Coturnix japonica: one gene and its partners. The protein of the gene in region 4 interacts with the protein of the main gene of each other region in a biochemical or structural test. Links are inferred from orthologs where the notes say so. Each region holds a gene or a part of one and is shown on either strand. Other genes may lie near its edges. The genes, in order: CHN2, IQGAP1, PAK2, RAC1, PAK1, HACE1 and ARHGDIA.

Region 1 (3,500 bases), on a different chromosome or scaffold from region 4:
AGTTGTGAAAATACAACTTAAGAGAATAGGACAACAATCGCATTTACATCCAGTGTGTTTTTCTTCTTTTCCACTACCATGCCAGAGGCAGTGTTAGAAATATGCCACTTCAAATGTATTGTCAGGAAAGAGAAAACGCTTCAGGTCAGTACAATTTGGTGCCATTTTTCAGAGACAGTGGCAAAAATAGGCACTTTCGAAACCTTTGAGGAGACGCTTGGAAACTTATCAGCTAGCAAAATGTGTGTCAGAGTTAAGACTGAAACTGCTGTAAAGATGTTGTTTGTACTTGTGGAAGGATCACAACTAAGCATTGATTATTGTAAGGTTTATTATGCATCCCCTGGCCTCTTTCGTTCATAAAATACAATGGCAAAAGAATCACAGAAGTACTGCTACACAGAATGAGGAATTTGACTGAAATAAAGAAAACGGTGTTTTTCTTGAGGATGTGAAATATCTTCTACTTCAGTATGGGCAGAAAAGAATTTTGAGTGACTGTTGCCATTTTTCTTCTCAATTTCAGCTACAATCTTAAGGAAGTGGTATTAAAAGCTAAAGAAAACTAGGAATAAGAATGACCTCTTCTTTTGAAATCATCAGCATTTAAAATAAAAATACTACCATTATTGCCCATTTTTTTCTATTCTGTCCCCACAAAACTTCTACAGAAAAGAAGTATTGACTGATAGAGGAGAAAAGTTGTAAAAAAAACATGGTATATTTATGGAAAAAGATTTTTGGGGAACACTTGGCTGTTGTTTGCTCTTCTCACTTACCAGGTCCTCACACAGATGTTACACAGTGTTGTGTCCTGCTGCATCTGCAGTCTCATTTCAGAAGCTTTTCAGTGGTTTTCAGTAGAGCAGGGAGGCATTTCTGATTGGATTGTTCTGGAAATTGCTTCAATATCTTCCCTTAGGTTCCATGGGATCATTTCTCGGGAGCAAGCAGATGAGATACTTGCTGGTGTAGAAGGAGCATACATTCTAAGAGAAAGCCAGAGGCAACCCGGCTGCTACACACTTGCTCTCAGGTAAATGCTGTTTTATTTCAGCTGTAAAGATGTATGTGTAGGAGGCGCTGTCAGTCCTGCCTGAGGGATGTCTGCACCCACGGGTATGTAAAACGCTGCATGATGTTGGGGTGGTTTTGCACCCTCTTGTTAGCAGCCGAACTATTGCGGCACCACAGTTAACTATGTCTGTATGTTAGCATTTGGCTAGGAGATCGCTTTTAGAACTGCCTCTTTTAAGCATTTCTGCTATCTAGAATTGTGTGTTGCAGTGGGATAAACATGAAGCTTTTACTTGAAAACTCTACAGTATGTAGGTGAGGACAAAGGAAGAATATCCTGACAGAAGACTCAGCTAGGTTGTTCTCTGAGCTCTGTGATACCTGTGAGTCTGTGTACACCAACACCAGCAATAGGAGTTGATATTTAAAGAATCAGGCCTAGAAAAATAACAAGATCCAGCAGCAGATCAGAAGTCAGTTTTCTTCCCCCAAGTGAAATTCAAGCTTACTGTAGAATACAGTATGAAGCATGGGATGCTCACAGTAGGAAGACTGTTGTACACCTGAACTCAGAATTCAGCAAAATCCTGAGCTACTGCCTCACTACCCCTCACAGGTGCCTTTTCTTGAAGATAAAGCTGCTCCCGTCTTAGCTGTGCCATCCAAAACCTTTCCATGTGACAGTCTTAAAGGTATTTTGTGTTAATGTGAAAAGGATCAGATATTCCACTGGATTTTGACAAAACAAACTCCATGGCAAAATGTTACAGTGCTTATAGCATTATTCCTTCTGTGGGACGTGCATCCTCATTTTTACCCTTCTATTAGTAAGCCAGTAGCAAAACTGCTTATCCCAAGTGGCTGTGAAATGGTGCTGAAATCCTTCTGAGACTTCATATTGATGTGCAGATGGTAGAGTAGGAAAGCTGGTGAGTCGTGCCAATTGCAAAGTGTTGTAAATTAAAAACAACTTTTGTCAGCTGAAAAAGGACAAATGTAATTTCTTAAGGTTTTGGAGAGAGATTTAAAGACTAAAAAGAACTACCAGAGGATGGGGATTATGGCAAATTTCCTTCTTTGACGCAACTGCATGATTTCTAAGTCCATCCAGATAATATTTGTAGACTCAAAAAATGAATTTGATTCACAGTTGAGAATTTGTATGAAAAACTTGGGTGAAAAAATAAGAGTTACATCATTTTATTTGAATGCCCTACAAAGTGTACAGAATGTGCACATTTGGTACAACATGGAGCCACATAAGCCAGTATGATATTATTGAATTGTTTAATCGAGAGAGGAATTCCACATTGGTGTTGTAGCAGAACATGCTGCTGCCATGAATTTACACATCGTTTACACCTCCCAGGATTAGGAGCTGCTCACTTCTTACCAGAGGGTGGCTCAGACCTTTGGGTTTGAGTTGCTTGCTTACAGTGTCCATCTCTTCAGTGGCTGTAAATAATGGCCGTGATAGTTAAATTTCTCTAGTTTCAGGACCTCAGAAACATTTCAGGACAGACCAGCCCTCAACACAATTATACATCCCACATAAGGTTATGTCAGTGACAATGTGCCTTTCTCTTGGCTTTCTCTTGGCCCTTCAGGATTTATATTCAACTCAGGTGTATCTGAGTCATATGGCTTGTAGCCTACCCATGGGGTACTACATGGGGTAATGGTCAAATTAAAAACCATTGGGTTTTAATTTGAGCTGGAGCACCACAGAGATCCATTTGCACCATGTTCATGTTCCATATGCAGTCCAGACAGTTCAGCATGTCAGCAAAATGATCTCTTCAAGTGTTTTGACAGTGTGAGTTCCCTCTGACATTCTTCCCTCTGTCTTTTTGTCCTCTCCCTCCTTTTCTTCTGGTATATGCAGATTTGGCAATCAGACCTTAAACTACAGGTTGTTCTATGATGGGAAGCACTTCGTTGGGGAGAAAAGATTTGAATCAATCCATGATCTAGTAACAGATGGCTTGATAACGTTGTATATAGAAACAAAGGCTTCCGAGTATATTTCCAAAATGACGACAAATCCCATCTACGAACACATTGGATACGCCACTTTGCTTAGAGAGAAGGTCTCCCGGAGGCTGAGCAGAACAAAAAATGAATCAAGAAAAGCAAGTGTAACAAGTGAAGAAAATACCCCCGTTGAGAAGGTAAGTAAAATTTTGGGTAATTGATACCAGGTAATCTATTAAGTCTTTAGAAAAAAAAGTGTTATATCTACTGACTTTTTTAATATGTTTTCCCATACGTCATCAAATATTGCCATCCTGCTGAAATGTTTGTGTCCTGTTAACGTGCTCTTTGTTCCAAACTAATATTTGTTTGGAGTTGATAGTGAGAGTTTTCTAACAAGTACCAAATGCAAATATTTTTGCAGTGTCAATATCTGTACACATACTGCCTAGCTGCATCTAAAATTATTCACAAGTTACATTTCTTTGTCCATGTATACTCAAGCATAT
Region 2 (3,500 bases), on a different chromosome or scaffold from region 4:
TATTGACAAATTGGAATTATACTTTGTTCTTCTTGCACTTCCAGATGGATGGAGGCCTGTCTGAATGAGGAGCTTCCTCCCACAACAGAACTGGAAGAAGGATTGAGAAATGGTGTCTACTTGGCCAAACTCGGAAACTTTTTCTCCCCTAAAGTGGTTTCTGTGAAGAAAATTTATGATAGGGAACAGACTAGATATAAGGTGAGAGCTGCTGGTTGTAGATACTGGGTTAGGTAGATATCTCAAAATGATGATCTTAAAAGTCCCTTCCTACCCAAACCACTCTGTGATTCTATGAGAAATGTCTCCTTTGCTTGAGAATACTGGGTAAGTGAGGGCTGTGGTTTCTTAGCTTTATGTCTGAACTTACAGCTGTGAAAGAACTTGTGTTGTAAGTAAGCGATATAATTTTATACATAGAAGACTGCTAACTTTGAGTGCACTTTTTTTTCACTGTCTGTATTGTCAGATGTGATATTTCTTTTGCATGTCCTCTCATTTCTGCCTATTTTTATTTCAGGCAACTGGTCTCCATTTCCGGCACACTGATAATGTAATTCAGTGGCTAAATGCCATGGCTGAGATTGGCCTCCCTAAGGTAATATCCGTGTTGTATGTGCAAATTGGTATGTAATCTCAAAAGTAACTTCGTGTTCTGTGGGAGCATTTCCTGTTGCACTAAAACCAACAGGGTTCATATGGTTACTTTTTTGTTTTCTAGACTTGCATCTGTATAGAATTTCTATCTGAGAACTTGATGAAATCTTCCATTTTGCTGTGAGAATGATTAGGTGCATAATAGTTGCTTCTTCTGTCCCATACCACAAATCTTGCATATTGCCTATACTACGTTGTTTGTATTCTGCATTCTATTGTGCAGTATCTGTGCTGCTGTTAGATTGTGGCAGTTTTTCAGAAATCTGTGTTAAAAGAAGCAGCGCAACAGAAAACAGTAGGTTCTCAAAATTGAATTTGTTAATTCGAAATTGGTTTTGGGTATGGCTTAAATATAAGTTATTGGCAATGCTATGGGAATGGCTCGATAGCTCAGAGGAGTTTAATAAATACTGTTGCCTGAAAATACATGGACCGTGGTAGTGCTATGTGGGCACATGAAGGAAAGGGGAATGCGTTTTTATGTGCGTAGAACTTAGACAGGAAAAAAGGAGCCTTGGTTTGGGTGGAAGATTAAAAAAAAAAAAAAAAGTGTGACTTTAAGCATGGGAGACATGCTAGGGTCATAGAAGTGTGAAGAGTTTTGTTTTTGTAGATTGTTTCATTAGTGTACTGCAGAAGATTTGGTCTTAGCACAGTTAGGACACTGGATTATGTAGCGGCTGTATCATTCAGACTGCTAATTTTGTTTTATCTTCAGATATTCTACCCAGAAACCACAGATATCTATGATCGCAAGAACATGCCGCGCTGTATCTATTGTATTCATGCACTCAGGTAAGGCATGCTAGGCAGAAATCTTCAGTTCCTTCTGAAATCTGCCTGGAAAGCTGAAAGGTGAGGGAAAGAAGGCTGGGCTGAAGGGTGAATGGGGACAAATTCTCTAGCAGAGCTGTTGTACCAGACTGGAGTGAAGATCTACACTGAATGCCTTAGGTTTGAAGGGACCTTAAGGATCATTTAGTTCTGATCATCCTGCCATGGGCTGGTTGCCCCACACTATATCATGCTGCCCAGGACCCCATCCAACTTGGCCTTGAATGCCTCCAGGGATGGGCCATCTTACAACGTTCTTCAGGCAATCTTTTCCAGCATCTCATATCTTTCTACTATCCAGTATTTGTGTTTAATGTCATAAAATCATAGAATCTTTCAAGCTGGAAGGAGTCCTTTAAAGTCATACTAGTCCACCTCCCCTGCAATGAACAGGGACGTCTACAGTTAGACTGAGTTGCTGGGACCCTGGTCCAGCCTGACTGTGAGCATCTCCAAGGGCAGGGCTTCCAGCATCTCTCAGGGCAACCCATTCCAGTTAAAAGTGAGTTTCATCTGAGGCACGGTTGTTCATTTTTTTAGAAATTTATTTTAATGCTCCCTTATGATCGGATAATTTGCTAGAGGGTACAGATCCATGAGCTGTGCTGAGCCAGCTTGAGAGGGAAGCAGACAACTTGCTTCTCTTTCCCCAGTCCCGTTTGTCTTAGCTTTGCATCAGTTCAGTTTCTCATCAAGCTTCTTTGTCAATCAGATTAATTCACTGAAATTACAGGGGAAAAAATGAATAAGTGAATGTGTTTATGTCACACTAGTAAGTCACATCACCTTATTAAGACTATTTTGACACAGCACTGATGAGGCCACACCTGAAGTAATGTGTCCAGTTCAGACTTCTCAGTGCAAGAGAGATGGAGCTGCTGAAAAGAGTCCATCAAGGCTGCTGAAATGATTCAGGGTCTGAAGCATCTTTTGTATAAGGAAAGGCTGGAGAGCTGTGTCAGTTTGGTCTGGAGAAGAGAAGGCCGTCAGGGGCAAGAAGGATCAGATCTGATCAATGTGTATAAATATTTGAAGGCATCATGTAATGAAGACTGAGCAAGGTTCTATTTGGTGGTCTCTGAGGACAAGGCAAGAGGTAATGGGCATAAACTGAGATACAGGAGGTTCCCTAAGAACATCAGGACATACTCTATTCACTATGTGGATAACCAAGCAGTGGAATAGGTTGCCCGATGAGGCTAGGAAATCCTTTCCTTTGGAACTGTTCAAAAGCTGTCTGGACACTGCCGTGGGCAACTGGCTGAAGGTGATGTTGCTTGAGCAGTGGGATTGGGCAAAAAGACCTCCAGAGGTCCCTTCCATCTTCATTCTGTGTGGACTTCAAAGTGGTGAGCAAGTCACGTGCAGCTGAGGAGGGAAGGAGAGAGGAGGATCAGCTTGTACCTTATTGGTAGCTGTGAGCTGTTACATGGGTCGGTATGCTTGAATGGTTCCTTTGATCCTTTTTATCTCCTAAATTATGATATCTTAAAATAAACAATGAGGAGAAATTACTCATTCTCATCACTTATTTTCTTTTGTAGCCTGTACCTGTTCAAATTGGGTCTGGCCCCGCAAATTCAGGATTTATATGGGAAGGTGGACTTCACAGGTAAAAATAAAAAAAGGAAATTTGTACCAATGTGTGCTACCTTTATTTCAGCTGTAGGAGATATTGTCAAGATCAATGTCAGGAGTGTTAACATAGGCTTCCTAAATGCAAATTAATTTAAATTAAAGAGTAATGGTTGTGAGCTGTTCAAGAAGTTAAAGCGGAAGGCTTATTTTGGGTAATTTTGTTCAAACCGTGACAAATTCTTAGCCAGGTCGTTGGTTCTCTGATGGTATTTTCACAAATAACAGCTCCTGAATTTTTGACTCTTGTTGAAAGATGATTTGACATCACTTTTATCCCCTTGGGAGTGGTTTCACTTTGATACTTAGTAAGCAGTTCTGGTTTCCTTTAACAGTTTAGAGTAGAGCTGTGCGTGTACACACAAGTGCCTCCA
Region 3 (4,274 bases), on a different chromosome or scaffold from region 4:
TAGCTGGCTCTCTGCAAGGGCAGTAAATTGAAAGGCTGTGTCCCATCTCAGCTTTCTTTTGGGATTCAAGATCAAGCCTTAGCAAAGGGCAAGTTAAATAGCAGCCTAGTTACCCATCCCCTGAATTGCAGCTAAAAAACCAACAAAAGCTGGTTAAGTGTGTATAACCAATTTACTTTTCCTTGTAGGAGAGTGAAGAACTGATTCTGCGTGTCCCGGTGGGGCTCACACAACACAGTGTCTTAGTGTGTGTCGTGACTCTTCTTGCCACCGTGCTCTGTTCCAGCTTGATTCTCACTGCTGTTTGCAGATATGGAGACTTCTCTCTGGTGACCTGCTTGGAATAAAGACGTGCAAAATGACTGAGCTCCAGATGTTACTGTTATTCACATCTTGGCAATGCATGAGGGTGCCCTCATGGACTGTAGTACAAAGGCAGCAGCAGTCAGGAGCAGAATGTGACTCCTATTCCTTACCCTAAACCTCAGCCTGGTCTAGCTTTGGGCTTTGGCTGGTGCTTTTCCTCACAGAGGTGTTTGTATTTCTTGAATTTAAATGAACAGACTTGACAAGTGGGTGTTAATGGTATGAAAAACATCCTTCAATCTCGTTTATGCTGCCCAGATGGGTTATGTGTGGATTTGGGAAGAGACATTCTTTGCTTACTTGTCACAGTAGAAGGCTTAAAAACCAATGGGTACAGCCCTGTAGTAAGTGGGGGGGGGGATTAGTTTCTCTTGCTTTGAACCGAAGGATTTGAGAGCTTAGAAAATCTGAAGGGAATTTCACCCTATATCTGAAGCTCAAATAACCCTTGGAAGATGAAAGCTGGTGAAAAGATACAAACTAGAAGCAAATATTTATAAGGCTCGAATTCAGCCCTCAGAGCGGTTGATAAATACAAGGAAATATGGAGAGGAAATTACTTAATGGAAAAACTGAGTTGCTCGAGATGAACAGTCGCTGTTTCCAGTCGTCAGTAGGTGGCACTGTGACCTTACAGCAGCTCAGGGGCTGCTGATGGACAAAATGCCCTTCCTTATAAGCTCAGTTAGTTAAAAGCGGCTGGTTTTCAAAGTCCATCTTCCTTCCTACGCAGCCAGGACTGTTCCCCAGCAGAATGAGCCTTTCATGGCTGTCCAGCTGTAGCTTCATGATCCCCTGGGCATCCTTTGCTTCTGGCATTCAATAGAGCTCGTCTTGTGACTGTGCCCACCACAGGTTGGCAACTGCTCTGACAGAGGGCTCTTGTTTTCCCCCGGCTGTGCTGAATGCTGCTGGCTGCTTCATCCACTACCTCAGCGGCGCCATCTGTGTGGTGGAAGGGGGCTCTTTAACCCCATGGTGTGACGGCGTTGCTCCCACTGTGTCCGCCGTTCCGAGGCCTCTTTCCCGCCCGTGGCAGCGCTTCCCGTGGTTCCCCGCTCTGCCGGGTGCTGCCGGGACCCGTAGTCCCGGTGGCGGCGCCCCGCCCTCCCGGGCTGTGGCCACGCGCGGCGGTTCCGCTTCCCCCTCCGGCTCCTGCCGCCGCCGTCTCGGTGGGTGCCGCCGCCGCCATTGCAGAGGCGCCGTGTGGCGGCCGCGCCCCAGCTGCCCCGTTCGGCCCGTCCCGGAGGCGGCCGGCGCCGCCCCAGCCCCGGTGAGTGCGCGGTCGCGGCCCGCTCCCACCTGCCGCCCTTTGTGGGCCCTCCCGGCCGGGCCTGCGGCGGGGCGGCGGCCGGGCGGCGCCTGGCGGGGCGGCCCCGAGGGTACGGAGCTGTGGGGAGGGACGGGGGGAACGGGGACGGGCGGGACGGGCCGAGCAGCCTCGGGGCCGTGAGGGGGAACGGCGGGCGGCCGAGACACCGAGAGTCGGCCCGGGGTGGTGCGGGAAGGCGGCGGGATGCGATGAGATCGTGCCGTGAGATCGTGCCGTGAGCCCTTAGCCCGGGCGGCCATCGAAAACGGGAAGCGATCCGATGTGCGCTTCCTTTCTGCTGCGGATGGAGGTGGCCCAGCGCTGCGGGGTGAGGGCTCCGCGTGTGGGCTGCTGTGACGGGCTGGGAAACTGAAAGAGAACACAGGAGCTAAAAACGTGAAGCCTTTGTGAGCTTTCAAGCGCTCACATCGACACACCTGAGGAAAAAACTCAGCGAGAAACGTTTTAGAGGAAGAAAGAGCTTTGATGTGGAGCTCGGTGCTGCTGTGCGTGAAGCCCGGACCTAAGAAGTGCTGGGTTAACATCCTCTGTGTGTGTGGAAGTGTGGCGATTAAAAACGTTGGGCTACGAAATGGACAAGGAAAGAAACGTCCGTCAGCTTCAGGCTGAGGGCTTTGAACTGTTGGTAGCACAGTGAGGTGGGGGCAGGAGGCTCATGCTGCTCCGGGTTGGGCTCAGTGCTGACCCAGTGCTCAGCCCATGGGGGGTTTGCTGCACTGACACCTGCTGCTGTGTCCTCTGGGCTGGTGCTGCAGTGTGTGGGGGAATGCTTTGACCATGTATGGCGGGTCTCATCTTGGGCATCTTTTAAAATGTGGCCCTTTAAAACCACCATTGTGCTTATTTCATTGGAGCCTTTCAGTTAGGTTTAAAAGAGAAAAATCTTCAAGCCCGTTTGGTTTCTGACTGATCCTAGGAGAAGTGGTAAGGGTATCCATGCTTCTGTTCTGTCTTTGCGCTGATAGGAGAGCTGCAGGGATCGGGAAGAAGGTCAAAGTGTTTTATTACCAAGACTCCTCCTGCTTTAGCGTTCCTGTATCAGTCTTGTACGTTTCACCTTTAATCTGTTTTCTGCATTAGGAGGTTTCTGAGGCGCTAAGAGCTCCGTGAGACTTCTGTGCCAGCGTTTCCTGCAGCAGCTCCCCTTACTGACGTGCCTGTGTAGCCACAACAGAGCAAAAGTTACTTTGCTTTGAAAACAGGGTACTCGGGGAGATGCTGCTTGAACTGGCTGGGCCTGGTGGTAAACGTGAGCAGCATTAAGGCTCTGGGGGCCGGCATGTGGGATATAGGAGGGAAGCTCTAAAGGTGAGTTGACTTAGCGAGGTTTTGGGGGTAGAAGGTAGTGATGGAGAGCTTCTACAGGTGATGTTTTATATGATCAGCTGAGCACCTGCACACCAGGCTGGGTCTCAGAAAGGATGAAGTCCTCTTCATGCAGCTCCTGGCCCAGGGCTGGATTGATTCTGCATCCCAGCAAGGTCAGCCTGGGGGGAAACAGCTTTTCCTGCGAGGAAGCGTGGTTTCATGTCAATTCATGCTGTGGTCTCATGGGAAATCAGGTGCTTTATTTCTTGCATTCCGATTGACTAGTGGACAACTGCTGCTTAGAACGTGTTTTTTGATGAACACACCTTACCAGGGGTGTGTAGTGTTACTCCTAGTGAGCATGGAGAGCTTTATGTAATAGATAAGGTCACTGTTTCCTATAAGATGTAAGGGCAGCATCAGTGTTGGTGTAGTGACTGAGGATGGTAAATAGAGCAGTTGTGTTTAAGTTTATTCACAAGCATCAGTCGATGTTAAGCTCTGAAGGAGGGCATGTCTCCTGCACCTGTGGGATTGGGTGAAGGTGATGTGTTCCCTTGGCAGGTTTCTGGAAGCTCAGATATCAGAAAGCCCAGTTATTGTTCAGTCCACAATCATTAGGGCTCATCTGCTGTAGCTGGCCAGTATGGGAACTGGTAGCCCTGTCTTCATGGCAAGCTGGTCCAAAGCAGCGTGTGTGAACCAGCAGCAGGACAGCAGGCAGGTGGATTAAGAGCTGGGGATACACTGGCAAGTCTTTCCAATTCAGCTTCTACCTTTTTTCCTTGCTGCTTGTTTTGGTGCTGGTGCCAGGTATTTGTTTGACTCATCGTGTGCTCCCAGGAGTTTACAACTGTCAGCATACAAAGACTTTCCAGAGCTTCTTTCATGAGTAAAGTCAAAGCTTTGCCCGGTCCTGTGAGTTTTGTTTTGGAAATAAATGTGATGCTTTCTACTCTTAACTTATGCTCACTGTTCATTTACAGTCTTTGCAGAAGTGCTTTTATCAACAGGGTTATCTTCCAAACAAGAGAGAGAAAAGACTGTTTCTGGCAGATGCTTTCTAAGTGACTTTACTGTTGAAGCTCCTGCTTCCTGGAGAGGTTTCGGATAGGGAAAGAGCCTGGATGAATGGGAACGAGAGTATCTTTCCTCTAAGCCCATCTCCTGCAAAATGCCATCCTCTCGTCTGAGAGTTTGGATCTCACTTATGCTGAAGTCAGACCAAAGTTGGCCAGGCAGTGGTTTGCTGGAAGGGACTGAGCTG
Region 4 (4,017 bases):
ATAAAAACAGCCTTTCTCTTTTCAGAGATAGACACTGACATGAAATATCTGAGAATTATCATTGCCCTCCAAAGGAAAGAGAATAAATATTGTGGGATGCTCTGTCCACCGACGAGGTTTCATTTGATAGTTTCCAAATAATTTAGACATGTTCTGAAATGAATAGGAGATGAATCACTGGATAAATCCCTGGGATGGCACCTCTGTTGATTGCAGTGAATGGTCACTCAGCACAAGCAGTGACTGCTCGGGTCTCTTCCTCGTGCTTCCTTTGATGGATGGCAACACAAGGAGAATGGTGAATGTGTGCATCAGTCCAACCAGCAGCGTCTTCCAAGGAGAATAACAGCAACTGTGGAAAGGAAAAGGCTCCTGGGGCCATTGGGCCTGATCTGCTCAACTTTTACTTCAACAGTTACAGGAAATAAATGGTTTCCTTAGGGTAAAAAAGAAACCCAGGGCTCTGTGCAGCCTGGCAGCCCCGGTACGCGTGGTCCAGGCTGCCCCACCTGGGGAAGCTGGCTGTGCACTGATCTGGGCTAAAACCTGCCGGCAGATTGAATGAATGTCACAGCATGGCAGGGGGAGAGAGGGCAGCAGGAGGATCTGCCGATGGAAGGAGGCTTCTGGCTGCGCTCTGTGCTGGCACATGGAGCGAGAGGGACCGGCCTGAGGGGAAACGGGCATCTGTCCGTGGTGGCACACAGTGAGTGCCACAGGTTGGCCTTAACTCGAGTTACATCGGTAAATCTGTACAGCGAACCTAATTCCACACTGACACGTTTCGTACAATGTCGTGCATCGGTTTGTGCACAACAGCCTCGTGGCAGACCGGCCTGAGGAGCGTTGAAGGCAGGGATAACAAAATGGTGTCCAAAGGAGCGTTTGCTGTGAGCTTTGTGGCCATGCGATAGCAGTGAGCCGGGCAGGGCGGGATGGCGGGGTTCTGCATCCCGGTGTGCGGGCACACCGAGCTACCGCCCGGCCCGGCAGCACCGCTGCGTGACAGCGCGATTCTGTGCGGCTCCGTGCGAGTCAACGACGGCAAAAAGCAGAAGGGACCGGGACCGGCCCGTGTCGCAGCGCTGCGGGGAAGCCCGGCCCGACCCCGACGGGCGGAGGAACCGGGCGGCGGCGCCGCAGCGTGTCCCGGGAGGGCGGGGCGGCCGGAGCGGGCCCGGAGGCGGAGCGGCAGCGCGGAGCCCGGCCGGATGTGAGCGGAGCGGCCGCTTCCTGTTTCCCGCAGTTCTCTCCCCGCCCTGGGTGGTGGCCGCTGCCTCGTCCCCGCTCGCAGGCTCAGGGCGGAGGCGGCCGCGACACGCTGCGGAGCGACTGAGACGCGCTCCGCCGCCGGCTGCTTTATCGAGCGGCGCTCCACGCCCCGCCCCGCTCCGCAGCCGCGATGCAGGCCATCAAATGCGTGGTGGTGGGCGACGGGTGAGTGCGGACCCGCGGACCGACCCCTTCGGTCGGGCCCGAGCCCGAGCCGCGCTGGATCCCGAGGGCGGGGGCGGCGCGGGGACGAGCGGGGGGTTGGGGCTTGTGCGGGCGGGGGAGGGGAGCGAGAGCGGGACGGGCGGCGACCAGTGCCGGCAAATGGAGGCGACGGGAGGGGCGGGAGCAGCGCGGCCGGTGCGGGCCCGAACGCGGCCACAGCCCGAGTCCGAGCCCAGCCCGAGTCCGAGCCCAGCCCGAGTCCGAGCCCAGCCCGCTCCGCGCCGTGGCGGCGGGTGGTGCCGACCGAGGCGGCTGCGCGGGGCGGGGGTGCGGGCGGCCGGGCGGGGCCCAGCGGGGCTGCGGGATGTGAGCACTGGGAGCTGAGCACTGTGAGCTCTGTGAGCTGTGCAATGTGCGTTGTGAGCTGTGTGAGCTGAGCACTGTGAGCTCTGTGAGCTGTGCAATGTGCGGTGTGAGCTGTGTGAGCTGAGCACTGTGAGCTCTGTGCGCTGTGCGGGGCCGCGCCGGGGAGGAGGCAGCGCGTCACGGGGGGAATGGGCTGAAGGGCGGGGGGCGGATCGTACCGTGTGGAGCCACAAAGTACCGAACTCACATCGCTACATCCGCTTTTTGCTGCACAACTACGAACAATCTGTTCCGCTCCAATCGAACCATACGCGCCGTGTGAGCTGAGCGTTTTCCTGCTCGCACGGCTCCCGTCTGGGGAGGTTCCTGCCTGCAAGAGGCTGAGAAAGCAATCGAAACCCAACTCATTAACATCGTACTCAGCTGTAAATCACTGCTGTGCCTACAGCGCTCCGAATGGGATGTGCCTTATACATTAGTTAGAAACAAGTTGTTAGGATCAGGTTAGCACTAAGCTGACCTGTTGGATTCCAGCATAAGCACTGCAGCTGTGATGGGGATGTTGTGTTGCTGCTTCTCAGTACTCACCACCATGTGTTGCCATTGGCCCAGAGGCTCCTTTCTCTCTCGCTGGGGCAGCAGTGCAGGGCAGCTGAACAAGGCGTGGCTTGTGCACTTCCACGGGGCTTTTTTCCCCCTCGGTAGAAACAAAAATCCCAGTGTAGGCCGAGCATAATCGGTGTCACAGCAAACCCCTGCGGGTGACAGAGGCTGTAAGTGTGGCTGATGGCCTTGCTGCTGTCTCTGTAATTGAATGTGGTGGATTAACCTTCCAGTTTCCTGTGTGTGGCTTTGTATTTTTCAACAAGGCTTGGAGTCCCTGAGCTGGCAGCTGTTAGAAAGATAAACTGAGCTCACGTGGCACATGTGTTCGGCCTGCTCTTACTGTGCAGGGTTTTGAGCCGAACACGAGTGTACTGAGCACTTGATCATCTGACAGAGACTTGTCATAGCACTGTAACTGATGGATCCATCACTGTAATTGATGGATGGTGGGCAGTGTGACTGCAGGCAAACCTTTCAGTTGCGTTGACTTTAAAGGTGACTAAAATCCCTTTTTTTAATTGTCATTTTTAAAGTGAATTGATGTCTGTGGCAGTGCTGGAAATCAACGTGGTGCATCGAGTTTGGGTGGGGAGAAAGTTCTGCCTGTTTCCTCTGCTGGGTTGAGGAGCTCAGTACGGACGCTGTGTTACTCAATGACTCGCTCAGCAAAGCAGTTCTTCTTTGTCTCTTGCTTTGTAAACTACTCCTTTTCTCAATGCATTTCCTGCTGGAAATGAAAGTGTGTCATCCCACCCAAGTCTTACACGTACGTGTGAACAAAACACGGCATTCAGTGGGCTTTCCTTCCTCTGCAGTTAGAAGCACATACCTCCTAGGATCCCATCTAGAAGCCGCTGCTCAGTTTTGCTATCTGTTCATTGACTTCTGCTGGGATTTTTAAATATTTTATGGTGCTTCTCTGCTGTTGCTTCACGAGTGAAGACATTACAGGCGTTCTGGTAAATGCGGAATGTTTGGCTTAGATAAGGCTAAAGCTCTGGTACTTCAGGAAAACAATGCAGGTTAAAGATTTGCTCATATGACATAAAACTTAGGCGCTGATTTATGTGCCCTGTGGAGATCCACTGGGAACAAACCAGCTGTGGATGTACCTGTGCAGCCTTAACAGCTGGAAGCAAGCAGGCGGTTTCTGAGCTGTTTTTGTTCTTAGGGCTCTGACTGGTATCTTTTTAGAGCTCTAATTTGGCTACAAAACACAGCATGTTTGCTGGTTGTGCAATCTTGTTTTGCCCTTGTTTTCCTCTTCATTGTGAGGATTGTTAGAGGGAAAATAAACAGCAACTGTTGCTTGTGCTTGTGGAAGATGCAGAGCAGTAGGAACGTGTGCTGGGATAACAAGGGCAGGAGCTGCTGCTGACTGACACTTGTGGAGAGCACTGCTAGGAGTTATTTTTAGCAGCTTTTGTTTTCACTCTGAAAAAGCAGCTGTTCAGTGGTATGAAATCTCAAGTGATCTCGTGTAACGCTGGGGGAAGTTCTGTGCTTTGGAATGATGATTATTGGGTGACAGAGAAACGGTCAGCTTCCTGCTCTTCTGGAGCTGGTTTTCATTGTAAAACTATTGTAAGAAAAGAGTCTGTCTGGAAT
Region 5 (3,500 bases), on a different chromosome or scaffold from region 4:
TTTTGGAGTGTCTGTAGTGTAGAGGACTGTGAATTTCAGTCATAGTATGGCTTGGGTTGGAAGGGACCCCAAGGATCATCAAGTACCAGCAGGTACTTCAGATCTGGTAGTAGACTGGGTTGCCCAGGGCTCCAACCAACCTGGCCTTGAACACCTCCAGCGATGGGGAATCAGCAGCCTCTCTGGGCAAAACAATTTTTTTCTGTGTTTCCTTCAAGACATTCTCTGTTAGGAGCTTAATCAGACATTTGTTACACGTTTACAACAAGCAATTAGGTTTTTATTTTTGCTATTCGTGTGACCACATGCAGAATGTGAAAGCTGTGTCTGAGACCCCTGCGGTGCCCTCTGTGTCTGAAGATGAAGATGATGATGACGATGCAGCTCCACCCCCTGTGATAGCACCACGACCTGAACACACCAAATCTGTGAGTACCAATACCTCCTTCAGCACAGTCACGCTCAGGTCTGGAGAAGATAAATGGTGTTTAAGTTATCATCTGCTTTGTATTAATACGTGTTTTTATTCAATAAAATTCAGATATACACCCGCTCTGTGATAGACCCTCTTCCTCCTCCTACCAGAGATGTGGCCACCTCTCCTATTTCTTCTCCCTCGGAAAACAACACAGCGACACCCGACATGTTGATCAGGAACGCGGAGAAACAAAAGAAAAAGCCAAAAATGTCAGATGAAGAGATTTTGGAAAAATTAAGTATGTCTTCCTGGAAAGAAAATTAATCAAATTCCATGTTCTCTTGTGTTGGTATCTTAAAAGCTGAGATGTTTGGGCACAGCTATTTTGAGATCCCTTACTGAAAACTTTGCCTTGTGACTGTGTGCCAAAATTGGGGCAGATGAAGAGGGAGAATGTAGATGTAAGCCGAGCACCTGTGATGCCAGCTGAAGGGCTCTGGGAGCTGCAGATCCTCAGACTCTGCAAAACGAGCCCTGAATATGTAACATCTACTTAACCACAAAGTCTGAGACTGCTCCACATCTTGATATTCCATAGCTATAGAGTGTGGGTGATTATATGGAAACGTTGCACCTGGGGTGAGCAGAACTTTCAGCTGTGACTAAAAGACGGAGAAAATCTTTGCAAACCCAAGTTCACCTCCCCTGATATCATGACATATTAAGTGTCCTGGCACTGTATGTATACACAGTAAATAACCCACATTTGTGGGTGTTATTTTTGTCTTTCTGTTGCGTCCCAGTTTCTTTGACAGTCCTTACCTTTAGTTTTTGGGTGTTATTTAAAGTGCTCCTCTACTGCCTGGCATTACTGGGATGTGCTATGGCAGCATTTGACAGCTGAAACAGCTGTTCTGTGCAATTGATTGCTGTCCTCAGCCTGGGCCAGCTTTTATTAGAGTAAAGCATTTCTAATTCTTTGAACTACTAACCCCGTGTTAATTACATGTGTGACTTGCATGTCAGATGGTGTAAATTGTGTTCGTACCCCTACAGTCAGGCTGGACTCCTCTGTTGAAAGTTTTTCCTTCTATTTAATGAAGCTAAGGCTAATACCTGAATCAAGAGAAACTTAATCTGAGAGCATAACTTCAGTACTTAATTCCTCTGAGATTAGGCCTAAATTGCATTGATGGCACGTAAGCTGGAAGTGTTTGCTATCTGAAAACTTGCCCTTTCAAGACTGGTTTCAGAACAACAACTTCTTCACTTGCTGAGTTAGCAGGACCTTTGTATCATTAAGGATTTGAGCCATTCTGTGACCAGGTAGGGCAAGCAGGGTCTGGAAAAAAGTGCAATTCTAATGCAAATACGTTTGCTTCTGTAAATCCTCACCTCTTAGCATTAGTACAAACATTAATGAATCCTCACCTGGCTTTTTGGGAGGTAGGAGACACTCCCTCCTTTTACAGATGAGAGAGGGTTAAACAGGACAAGACTGAGAGCTGACTCTCGCTGCTGCCCTGCAGCACTGTCCTGTGACTGCCTTGGGCAGACATTTGCCTCTCACAGTCTGAACTTGCATCCTGTGTTAGGCTTTAAGAGAAAGTTTATGAACATTAGTCCAGCAATGTGTGTCCTCAGGGCAGACAGCATTGCTGCAGTAATTGTGCAGTAGGGTGTACACAGTCTGATTTCTCTTCCCACCCTCCTCCCCAGGCAGGAGCCGTATTCCCCTCTTATTTCTGTCTGCCTTAAACCCCGTGGATTTGGCTGCTGGCCATTGGTGTCTGAAAATAGCCTGCTCTTACTCTGCTCGCTACTGGATTTCTTGGCATGATGACCACAAGCAGTTTCCTTGCCAATATGCATCTGTTTAGGTTCAGCCCCAGGCTGCTGCAAAGGCAGCACCGTATGTTGGCTGCTTGAGCAACTTGCAAACAACGCAGAGGCAGCGCTGCATCCCTTGATCCTATTAGAATCCTTGAATCATGAATGTTGAAAAAGACCACTGATAAAATCTAATGTTGCAGGGGAGATTTGTACCCACCTGAGCTCTAGGGATTGTTGGCCTGGATGTCCTCAGCCCTGAAGGATGTGATTCCCCTCCAGCTCTGGGGACATGATGAATATCACTGTCTTCAGGGAGCTTGGGGTTCCAGTGATGCTCTTTTTGGTGACTTCTCTAGCTTAATCCTTGGCCTTGGTGCTTCTTTGCCCTTGTTCTGTGAGCTCCCTCCACTACAGAAAGCTTGAGGTTATGTTTCTTGTGGATACCAAACCCACCTTGAGCCTGAGCAGCCCCTCACCACCTTGCAGAACACGAAGCCAAATGCTTTACCCTCCAAGGGATGCAATAACAGACTTTCTTTCAGCTGAACAGCCACATTAGGGAAAATGAGCGGAGTTTGCCTCAGGGTGCTCTCTAAACCCAGGAAAGCATGGCTGCAGTTGCATGGCAACTGCTACTAAAAGCCTCCTGCACTTTCCCTTGCTGCTGGGCTACTAATAGAGAAGCTGAGCAATGCCCAGAGCAATAGCTCTAGCTTCTTCCCCATGTCTTACAACCTATTAGTTAGATCAATAATGGCTATGTTATTACTGGTATGGAAAGGTGGTAAATACGTTTGTTCTGACAGAAGTCGTCATGGTGTTATGGTTGTATGGAAAAGTACTTCTCAGATTTACTTTGTTGCTGTTGTTTTTGTAGGAAGCATCGTGAGTGTGGGTGATCCAAAAAAGAAGTACACGCGCTTTGAGAAGATTGGACAAGGGTTGGTATATGCTTCCACTTCTCTCCTGTACCTTTGTGTTAAGAAAGAAGCTCTGAATCCAGGCTAAGTTAATCTGCTGGAAAAGCTGGTGATTATTTTTTCTGCTCCTTCCCCGGAGCTCTCTTCCCATTTCCTACCAAAGTTTTGAGTCACAGTGGCTGGGTTCTTTTGCGCAATTGTGTTTTAATAGAAGAAAATATGTCATTAGATGATCAGGTTGCTAAAGATAGCTGTAGGCAGGGATGGAGCCTGTTTATTTTCAGAATGCAAGGCTGAAATCACTGATTTGCTTTCTGAGTTAACTCTCC
Region 6 (2,520 bases), on a different chromosome or scaffold from region 4:
TTCAACCCGGGCCATTCTATGATCACCAGATGAGAATGTATCCACCATGATGGTTTTATTAGTTAACACCTGAAATGTTAAATCTGAAGTACTAAATGAAAAGATGTATCAAAACACTTGGGTCAGTTTTTACACAGGCAGCAACTGGAGAATAAACTGTTTAATAATGCAGTACTTTTTGAACTGCAAATGAAGAAAAATAAGTAAATAAGGTGTGATAAATATGATAATGTGGTAAACTGAGATCTTATAAAGACTGGTTGGAGAAGTGAACTTGCTTTGCAAACAGAATTCTCCTGAATATCATTCAAAGAGTTTGATGTATAATGCACATAAATGTAAATGTAAGTATTATAATTAAAAGTATTTAGACAATGAGAATTTTGATACTGATGTGAGAAAGGGAGAACCTTGATAAAAGTGTAAGTTAAGAGAGATTGTGGTGTTACTAATGTGTTTTTTACTTAACTCTTCTTATGATGATCTAATTTCTGTGAGTATTCTCAGTTCCAGAGTGCCTCATGGTGGCTTTGCCCATATAATGGGAGGGAGTGGACTGCAGAATTTTACAATTGCTGCCGTGCCATATACTGCCAACCTTTTACCAACATCTAGCACGTGGTATGTCAAATACTCATCATAACACCTTAGAAATAAAAGCTTTTCCTTTTTCTTATAAATGCCAGTCAAAAATATTTTGAGTGTTTTCATTAAAAGGCCAGAAGTCCTTGACAGTTCCTGGAGTATTCTCTTGCCATCATCCAGGTGGTGGGTTTATACTCAGTGGCAGTTGTATAATTTTTATTTTTTGCTCATTTTTCTCCACTTCAATCAAGTGGAATCAATAAAGGAAGTTAAAAGTGAAGTTAATGTATTAAATTTAACTAATGTGATTAAAAAAAAAGTTTTTCTGCAATATATGTGGATGCTGCTCAATGGGATTGTAATGCAGAACTGGCTTTGTTGGATCCTTATTTACTGAATGTGACATCTTTGGAATTTTCAATTAGAAGACAAAACTTTATGCTTGCATTTCTTGTTCTGATGAGTTTTCCTTTTCTATTTTTCTGTTCTTGGTTTGTTTTTTTTCCTCTTCCCCTTTCCAGTATCAACATGCTCAAGTTACCTGAATACCCAAGTAAAGAAATCCTGAAGGACAGGCTTCTTGTGGCATTGCACTGTGGAAGCTACGGTTACACAATGGCATAATGAAGTCCAGAAAACTCATCTGACTACTGATGTGAAATTCAGTGTGGTGGAAATTGTTTTTTGGGAAGCTGTTAGTGGAATAGCAACTCAGATGCTGCAGCAAGGCTGAGTTTCAGAACTCATACAGGATCATCAGGTTTCTTTCTCCATTAGGTGTTGACAAATGAACATTGATACTGTCACACAGCTTACTTTTCTCAGTATGTTGTATTTTCATTTTTTTAAATGACAGGTCTGTATGGAAATTGGTTTACACGTTTTTCATTATTACTTCAGTCTGAATTGGGAAGTTTGTTAGAATCTCTTTCTGCTGTCTTATTTTTGATTTTCATCTAGATGGTCAAATGGCATTGGCTTATTTTGCATTCAGGTAACGTACTGCTAATGGACAGGCTTGTACTTCATGCCTTGTTGCATGTGAAAGTGCCGTTTATTTTTTCAGAGAACACCAGGGAAAGTTCAATTTGGATATTGTACAGTAAGACAGATCTGATGTATTTTCCATTCCTTTGCATAGTAACAGAAATAAAGTTTTATAACTTTTTAGTATTTTAATGTATATAGTATGTAAAGATTAGACTTATCACAGGAAAAATATCAGATGAAATTAATATCTAATTTGTATTAGAATTTACACTATATTCTACTAAATATTTAAAGTATTTGTGACTTTATAGTCAACTTACAGTTTAGAATTTGTAAATATTATTTAAGTTCTACATCCATTTGTTTGTTTGAATGCCTTTGCTCTTTCCTTGACATAAATGTATGTTTAAAAGTTATTATTAAATTTTAATATTTTTTACCGGAATCTGAATGTGACAAGTTTGTATAGTTTCATATATTTGTTTTCTTTCTAGGACTTTGTTCATCTTGTTTATACTTTTAAATCACCATGGAAATAGCTTCTGAGAAGGCATTATTAAAGTTTGTGGATAGACGTAAGCAAATGCACAGGGAAGGAACCTGAGCTTACTGAGAGGTTAACTGTCAAGGCTATAATAATTAGAATCTCACGTCAAAATTTCTATAGCACCGGGGTATGTTCCTCAAGTCATATGCAGGAATGCACACCTGAATGTTTTGTTTTGTTTTTTTAATAAATGGGGATAGAATAGATATATTTATAATGGTTTTTAAAAGACTTTATGGTAGGTCTACATTAGCATTTTGGTTCAGGATAGGATTGTGTTTTTATTTTTTAATGAATCTGATCATCCCTACTTGCCATGCTTTTACTCCAGAGAATGTGGTATGGATTATTTCCAGCTGAAACTAAACAGAAAAACACCATCCATGAATGTACCAAAT
Region 7 (4,297 bases), on a different chromosome or scaffold from region 4:
CAGCACAGAGGTGAGAAGCCGCGGGAGTCGCTGTGCCAGTCAGCACGGGGAGTGAACTGGCCTGTGTAGGAAGCATGGAATCCTCCTCGTGTCCTGCAACCTTCTGAGTGCCTGTTGGGGTTAACCAGAATGCACTATAACAGTTGCTTTTTAAAAATCACAGTGTAAACAGAGGTGGAATGACCAGAAACCGTGGTGGTACAGGAGGATTTGGTGGTGGAGGTACCAGGCGAGGTAGTCGTGGTGGGAGCAGAGGGAGAGGCAGAGGGGCTGGAAGAACTTCCAAACAGCAGCTCTCTGCAGAAGAACTAGATGCACAGCTGGATGCTTACAATGCCAGGGTAAGTGCTGCTCACATGATGGTCACGGGTACCTACAGCGTCCTTTTGATAAACACTGGCAGCTGGCTGGAAAGAGAAATTGTTTTTCAGGTCATTTGACTTAAATAGCCTCCCTCTAAAGCTGAGCATTGCCCTGTTCCTTCAGCTGCCTTAGCTCTCCACATCTACTGTTACTCATGAGTAATAAATAGCCCCTTTTCCAACTTCTCCTGGCTTGTTGAAGCCTGTGTCAACCAGAATTGGCAGTAATCAAGATGTGTGATGAACGAAAGCTATGAACCAAAGCCCAAAGGGATAATAGGCTGGAAAAATGAAAAGCAAAAAGAAAAAACACATAAAATAACCAGCTTGGTGCTAAGAAAGGAAAAAAAGTCAATGATGCTGATCACCCCTAATGCAGGTGGATGAGCAGAGCAGTGCACATGGTTTCTTTCATTCAGAATGAGCTCAGATATTGTGCCACAACAAGACTAAAGTCTTAACTGAGAATCAGTTAAGAAGTGATGCAGGGACTTGGCCCAAGCACTGAGGTGCAGTTTAGGTCTGCTCAGTGTGTGCTGTGGATTGGGCTGCATCTCCGCCATTGAGGCAGCAGCATCCTGGGGTTGGCAGGCAGGGCTGGGGGGTGTCAGGGTTGGGGATGGAGCTGGGGGGTTGTGGGGCCATGGTGGGTTGTGGGGTCATGGTGGGTTATGGGGCCGTGGTGGGTTATGGGGCCATGGTGGGTTATGGGGTCATGGTGGCTGCTGACGCTCCTCTCTGTTCTCTTCCAGATGGACACCAGCTAAAGCGTTGAGCGGCGCATGGAAGGACTGCAGACATCTCATTCCATGCTGTGTGGCGGGAGGGGTGTGCGACTGTGGCTACTAATATCAAGGATGGGATTTGTTTTACTTTTATGTTTTGGAATAGGTTTTAAACTCATGTAAAGGTTTTTTTTAATTCTGAAGCCAGACCCGTTTTGTACCGAGTTATTTTTGGGATAAATTTTACTGGTTGCCTGTTGGGCCGAGGTGGCTTTTTCACCTTTGCCGTAATAAAATAGAACCGTGTCTAGAGCTCCGCCTGCTCCCTGCCGCGCGCTCCTTTCCCGCGCCCGCGCTGCGCGGCGAACGCGCGCGTACTCCCTGAGCCAATCAGAACGCAGCGTCGAGGCAGGAAGTGAGGAGCGGGACACGCCCTCGTATAACGGGAAGTGACGGGCGTGTCCCGGAAGTGCGGGGGTGCGCGGGCGGCTGGGCGGATCCCGGCGGCGTTGGACCGCGGCGCGGACGGTGAGAGCGGCCGGGACGGCGGGACCGGGCGGGGCGGGGCCAAGGGAGCGGGGCGGGGGGCGCCGGGATCCGCCATGTGCGCTGCGGCCGGGCCGGGTCCCGCGGGCTCAGCGCCACGCCAGGGTCCGGGGCGCGGCCGAGGGGGCAGCGGGCGCCGTCCGGGTGCGCGGCGGGGAGCGGAGCGAAGAGCGGCGCCTTCGTGCCTTGAGGCCGCCCCGGCCGCCGCTGTCGGACCGGAGCCGGGTGGGGACCCGCTGGCTTCAAATAGATTCTCCATAAATGGTTTCGAGCTTTGAAAGGAGGAACTTGAAGGCGACTTCCCCACGGTTGGGTTCGTTTGGCGTTAGAGCCGAGACGTCGGTGCAGCACCGGGTGCAGGATGGAGGATGGAGCGGCAGTGAGCGCTGTCCGGGCTGCGGGGCCTCATGGCCGTGCCGGAAGGATGGTGCCGTTTCCCTGCCTGGGCGGGCGCGTTGCGTGAAGCCGTGACTTCCTTCTCTTAAAGAGCTCTCGGTTGTAGCACTCAATTATCGCTGTGAGAGCTTCAGGTCCCGGCCGTAGTGCTCTATATAGTGCTCTATGGGCTCGGTTCTCTTGCAGTGGTCCCGTTCTTGTCCCAGAGATGCTGAGTGGCGGCCGCTTCCACGTGGTGCCCAGGAGACATTTGCAGCTCCTGCAGTGTGGTCGTGCTGTAGCTCTGCAGTCGTTGTACTTACAGGTGCATAGTGCTCACCGTGCAGCTTGTTTGAGTACGAGGCTGCAAGGGCTTCTTAAATCCGATAAGCAGTGGGAGCTGTCTGCTCGTTCTCGGGTGATGCTCGTGGCAGGTGATACCTGCAGGTGTTGTGCAGTGCAGGGCAGTGTCACCAGCACGGTGCACAACTGCGGATCTGGCTGCAGAGCACCTGGCAGCAGCTGCTGTGCGACCCACAGCTCCTCCCCACGCCTGGAGCTGTGACAGGGATCAGCCTTAGGGCAAGGCGGGAGATCTCCATGCTCATAAAGCAGCTCAGCAATGCTGTGGGAGCACCCAGCGCTGTGCTCCTGAGGCTAAACCTGCCTGCAGGCAGCACTGGGGGGGGGTCACTGCTCTGCTGCTGCCACGCAATTAGACCTGGCTCTGGGCAAGCTCACGTCTGGCCCCTCGAGCTGCCATCATACGGGGTGTCTGTGCTGCTTGAACTGGTTTTAGCAGCTCTTGCTTCCTGTTTCTGCAGCACAGCAGCTTATGCAGCCCTGAGATGAACCAGGGTGGTTGAACCGACCTGTGTGGGAAGTAACCTTGCAGAAAGCCACATTGGATTCCAAGTGGCTTTGCTGTGCAGCTTCATCAGCTTTCCCTTGTGCTGCAGCGAAAAAAGGAAGGGTGTGGACTGCTTGAATTGGCGCTGTGTGTGTCCGTGGCTGAGCTGAGGCCTGACGGATGTCCGAAGCCAATTAGGTCATCTGTAAAGACTCTGACCACTCTTATGTCACTGCACAAGTACCTTGGGATCGTGGCCCTGGCATGTAAAGAAATCACTGCTCATCCCTGCCTGATAACGGTGTTCTTTTCCTAGCAGTGTTTCTATCTGGCAGAAGGTGGGGCTCGTGTGTTCACTGCTGTTCGCTCCTTGGTATCGAACTAAAAATACTGAGAGAACTCAGGAGAAACTGCTGACTTCAGGAAGCGGCGCAGGCAGCTGAGTGCAGATCTGCAGATGGGAAATAATTTGGTTTCTGCTGCTTTCTGCAGGCCCCAGTAACCAGCAGAGCTTCCATTTCCAGACATTCTGGGACATCCCTGAGGCCGCAGTGCTCTCCTGTGGTTGAGTGCAGGGTGGCACAGAGGCAGCAGCTGCACTGTTCTGTGAGCCAGGTGTGTCTGCAGTCAGAGCCATGGGCTCGGGCGGTGCCGCACAGGGTGTGCAGGTGCCTTCCGGGTTTCAAAGTTGCTGAGGGGGAATTCCTTGCAGAGGCCTTGGGGTGGTGCCTGGGTGTGAGGCTCAGGGCTGAAGGTGCCATTGCTGCTGGAGGTTGGTGTTCTGGGAGGTTTCAGTCACGAGGCTGAGCCCTCTGAAGGGGTTGTGGCCTCAGGTCCCCGTTCCTCTGCCCCCACCTCTGCAGCAGCATGTGCTGGAGCCATGATCCTACAGGACGTTGGGCATGGCATGAGATGGATGCCCGACCCAGTGTTCCAGTGTGTTGAGTCCCTCAGCTCTGCTCTGCCTAGCAGTACGACAGCTCCTCCTGCATGCACCCGACCAGCTCTGTTCTACTCATTCTAGGCTGTAGGAAATGCATTGTTATAGAAGCACGGAGCAGCCTGATGCTGCTGGGAGCCTCCTTTCTCCCTGGCAGAATACTCAGGGCAGCAGCTGAGCACTGTGATGTGAGGCTGCACAATGCTGTGTGCTGGGAGCAGGGTCAGCCGGGCGCAGTGGGAGCACGATGCCATCAGAACACTGCAGCAGAGGGGCTGTGGTGCAGCCAGCTCCATGAGGCTCCTCCAGGCCTCGCTGCACATTTTTCCTGTGCTTCCTTGCAGAGCTGAGACCCAGCCTGTCTTGAGCTGCTGTTTGGAACATTGCTTGCTGTTTCTGGTAACTTTGGGTCAGTTTGAAGAGCCACTTTTCACCCATGGACTTCCATGGGGTGCTCGTGGGGGAGGGAGGGGAGGGGTGAAGTCTGGCTTGGAGCTGA

The links.
Region 1: the proteins of RAC1 (region 4) and CHN2 form a complex in vitro, tested with the Homo sapiens proteins (2 studies listed by BioGRID). The link is inferred for Coturnix japonica from reciprocal best matches to the Homo sapiens genes RAC1 and CHN2.
Region 2: the proteins of RAC1 (region 4) and IQGAP1 form a complex in vitro, tested with the Homo sapiens proteins (3 studies listed by BioGRID). The link is inferred for Coturnix japonica from reciprocal best matches to the Homo sapiens genes RAC1 and IQGAP1.
Region 3: the proteins of RAC1 (region 4) and PAK2 form a complex in vitro, tested with the Homo sapiens proteins (2 studies listed by BioGRID and IntAct). The link is inferred for Coturnix japonica from reciprocal best matches to the Homo sapiens genes RAC1 and PAK2.
Region 5: the proteins of RAC1 (region 4) and PAK1 form a complex in vitro, tested with the Homo sapiens proteins (17 studies listed by BioGRID and IntAct). The link is inferred for Coturnix japonica from reciprocal best matches to the Homo sapiens genes RAC1 and PAK1.
Region 6: of the proteins of RAC1 (region 4) and HACE1, one has a biochemical effect on the other in vitro, tested with the Homo sapiens proteins (5 studies listed by BioGRID and IntAct, with this or other methods). The link is inferred for Coturnix japonica from reciprocal best matches to the Homo sapiens genes RAC1 and HACE1.
Region 7: the proteins of RAC1 (region 4) and ARHGDIA are reported together in a solved structure, tested with the Homo sapiens proteins (2 studies listed by BioGRID and IntAct, with this or other methods). The link is inferred for Coturnix japonica from reciprocal best matches to the Homo sapiens genes RAC1 and ARHGDIA.

Annotation. Positions count from the first base shown.
Region 1 is NC_029517.1:30,877,969-30,881,468, forward strand, and holds part of CHN2 (beta-chimaerin), read left to right. Parts: intron 1-922; coding exon 923-1,036; intron 1,037-2,902; coding exon 2,903-3,188; intron 3,189-3,500.
Region 2 is NC_029525.1:18,435,996-18,439,495, forward strand, and holds part of IQGAP1 (ras GTPase-activating-like protein IQGAP1), read left to right. Parts: intron 1-44; coding exon 45-201; intron 202-520; coding exon 521-598; intron 599-1,375; coding exon 1,376-1,452; intron 1,453-3,035; coding exon 3,036-3,103; intron 3,104-3,500. UniProt on the Homo sapiens protein: Plays a crucial role in regulating the dynamics and assembly of the actin cytoskeleton.
Region 3 is NC_029524.1:3,560,574-3,564,847, reverse strand, and holds the start of PAK2 (serine/threonine-protein kinase PAK 2), read left to right. Parts: upstream 1-1,474; 5' UTR 1,475-1,639; intron 1,640-1,874; exon of another isoform or gene 1,875-2,006; intron 2,007-4,274. Other genes in the region: PIGX (phosphatidylinositol-glycan biosynthesis class X protein), read left to right, coding at 189-347. UniProt on the Homo sapiens protein: Serine/threonine protein kinase that plays a role in a variety of different signaling pathways including cytoskeleton regulation, cell motility, cell cycle progression, apoptosis or proliferation.
Region 4 is NC_029529.1:8,463,519-8,467,535, reverse strand, and holds the start of RAC1 (ras-related C3 botulinum toxin substrate 1), read left to right. Parts: upstream 1-1,217; 5' UTR 1,218-1,402; coding exon 1,403-1,437; intron 1,438-4,017. UniProt on the Homo sapiens protein: Plasma membrane-associated small GTPase which cycles between active GTP-bound and inactive GDP-bound states.
Region 5 is NC_029516.1:172,852,954-172,856,453, forward strand, and holds part of PAK1 (serine/threonine-protein kinase PAK 1), read left to right. Parts: intron 1-311; coding exon 312-428; intron 429-541; coding exon 542-716; intron 717-3,128; coding exon 3,129-3,192; intron 3,193-3,500. UniProt on the Homo sapiens protein: Protein kinase involved in intracellular signaling pathways downstream of integrins and receptor-type kinases that plays an important role in cytoskeleton dynamics, in cell adhesion, migration, proliferation, apoptosis, mitosis, and in vesicle-mediated transport processes.
Region 6 is NC_029518.1:62,808,258-62,810,777, forward strand, and holds the end of HACE1 (E3 ubiquitin-protein ligase HACE1), read left to right. Parts: intron 1-507; coding exon 508-621; intron 622-1,106; coding exon 1,107-1,209; 3' UTR 1,210-2,020; downstream 2,021-2,520. UniProt on the Homo sapiens protein: E3 ubiquitin-protein ligase involved in Golgi membrane fusion and regulation of small GTPases. Acts as a regulator of Golgi membrane dynamics during the cell cycle: recruited to Golgi membrane by Rab proteins and regulates postmitotic Golgi membrane fusion.
Region 7 is NC_029533.1:4,449,828-4,454,124, forward strand, and holds the start of ARHGDIA (rho GDP-dissociation inhibitor 1), read left to right. Parts: upstream 1-1,497; 5' UTR 1,498-1,615; intron 1,616-4,297. Other genes in the region: ALYREF (THO complex subunit 4), read left to right, coding at 1-10, 164-341, 1,115-1,129. UniProt on the Homo sapiens protein: Controls Rho proteins homeostasis. Regulates the GDP/GTP exchange reaction of the Rho proteins by inhibiting the dissociation of GDP from them, and the subsequent binding of GTP to them.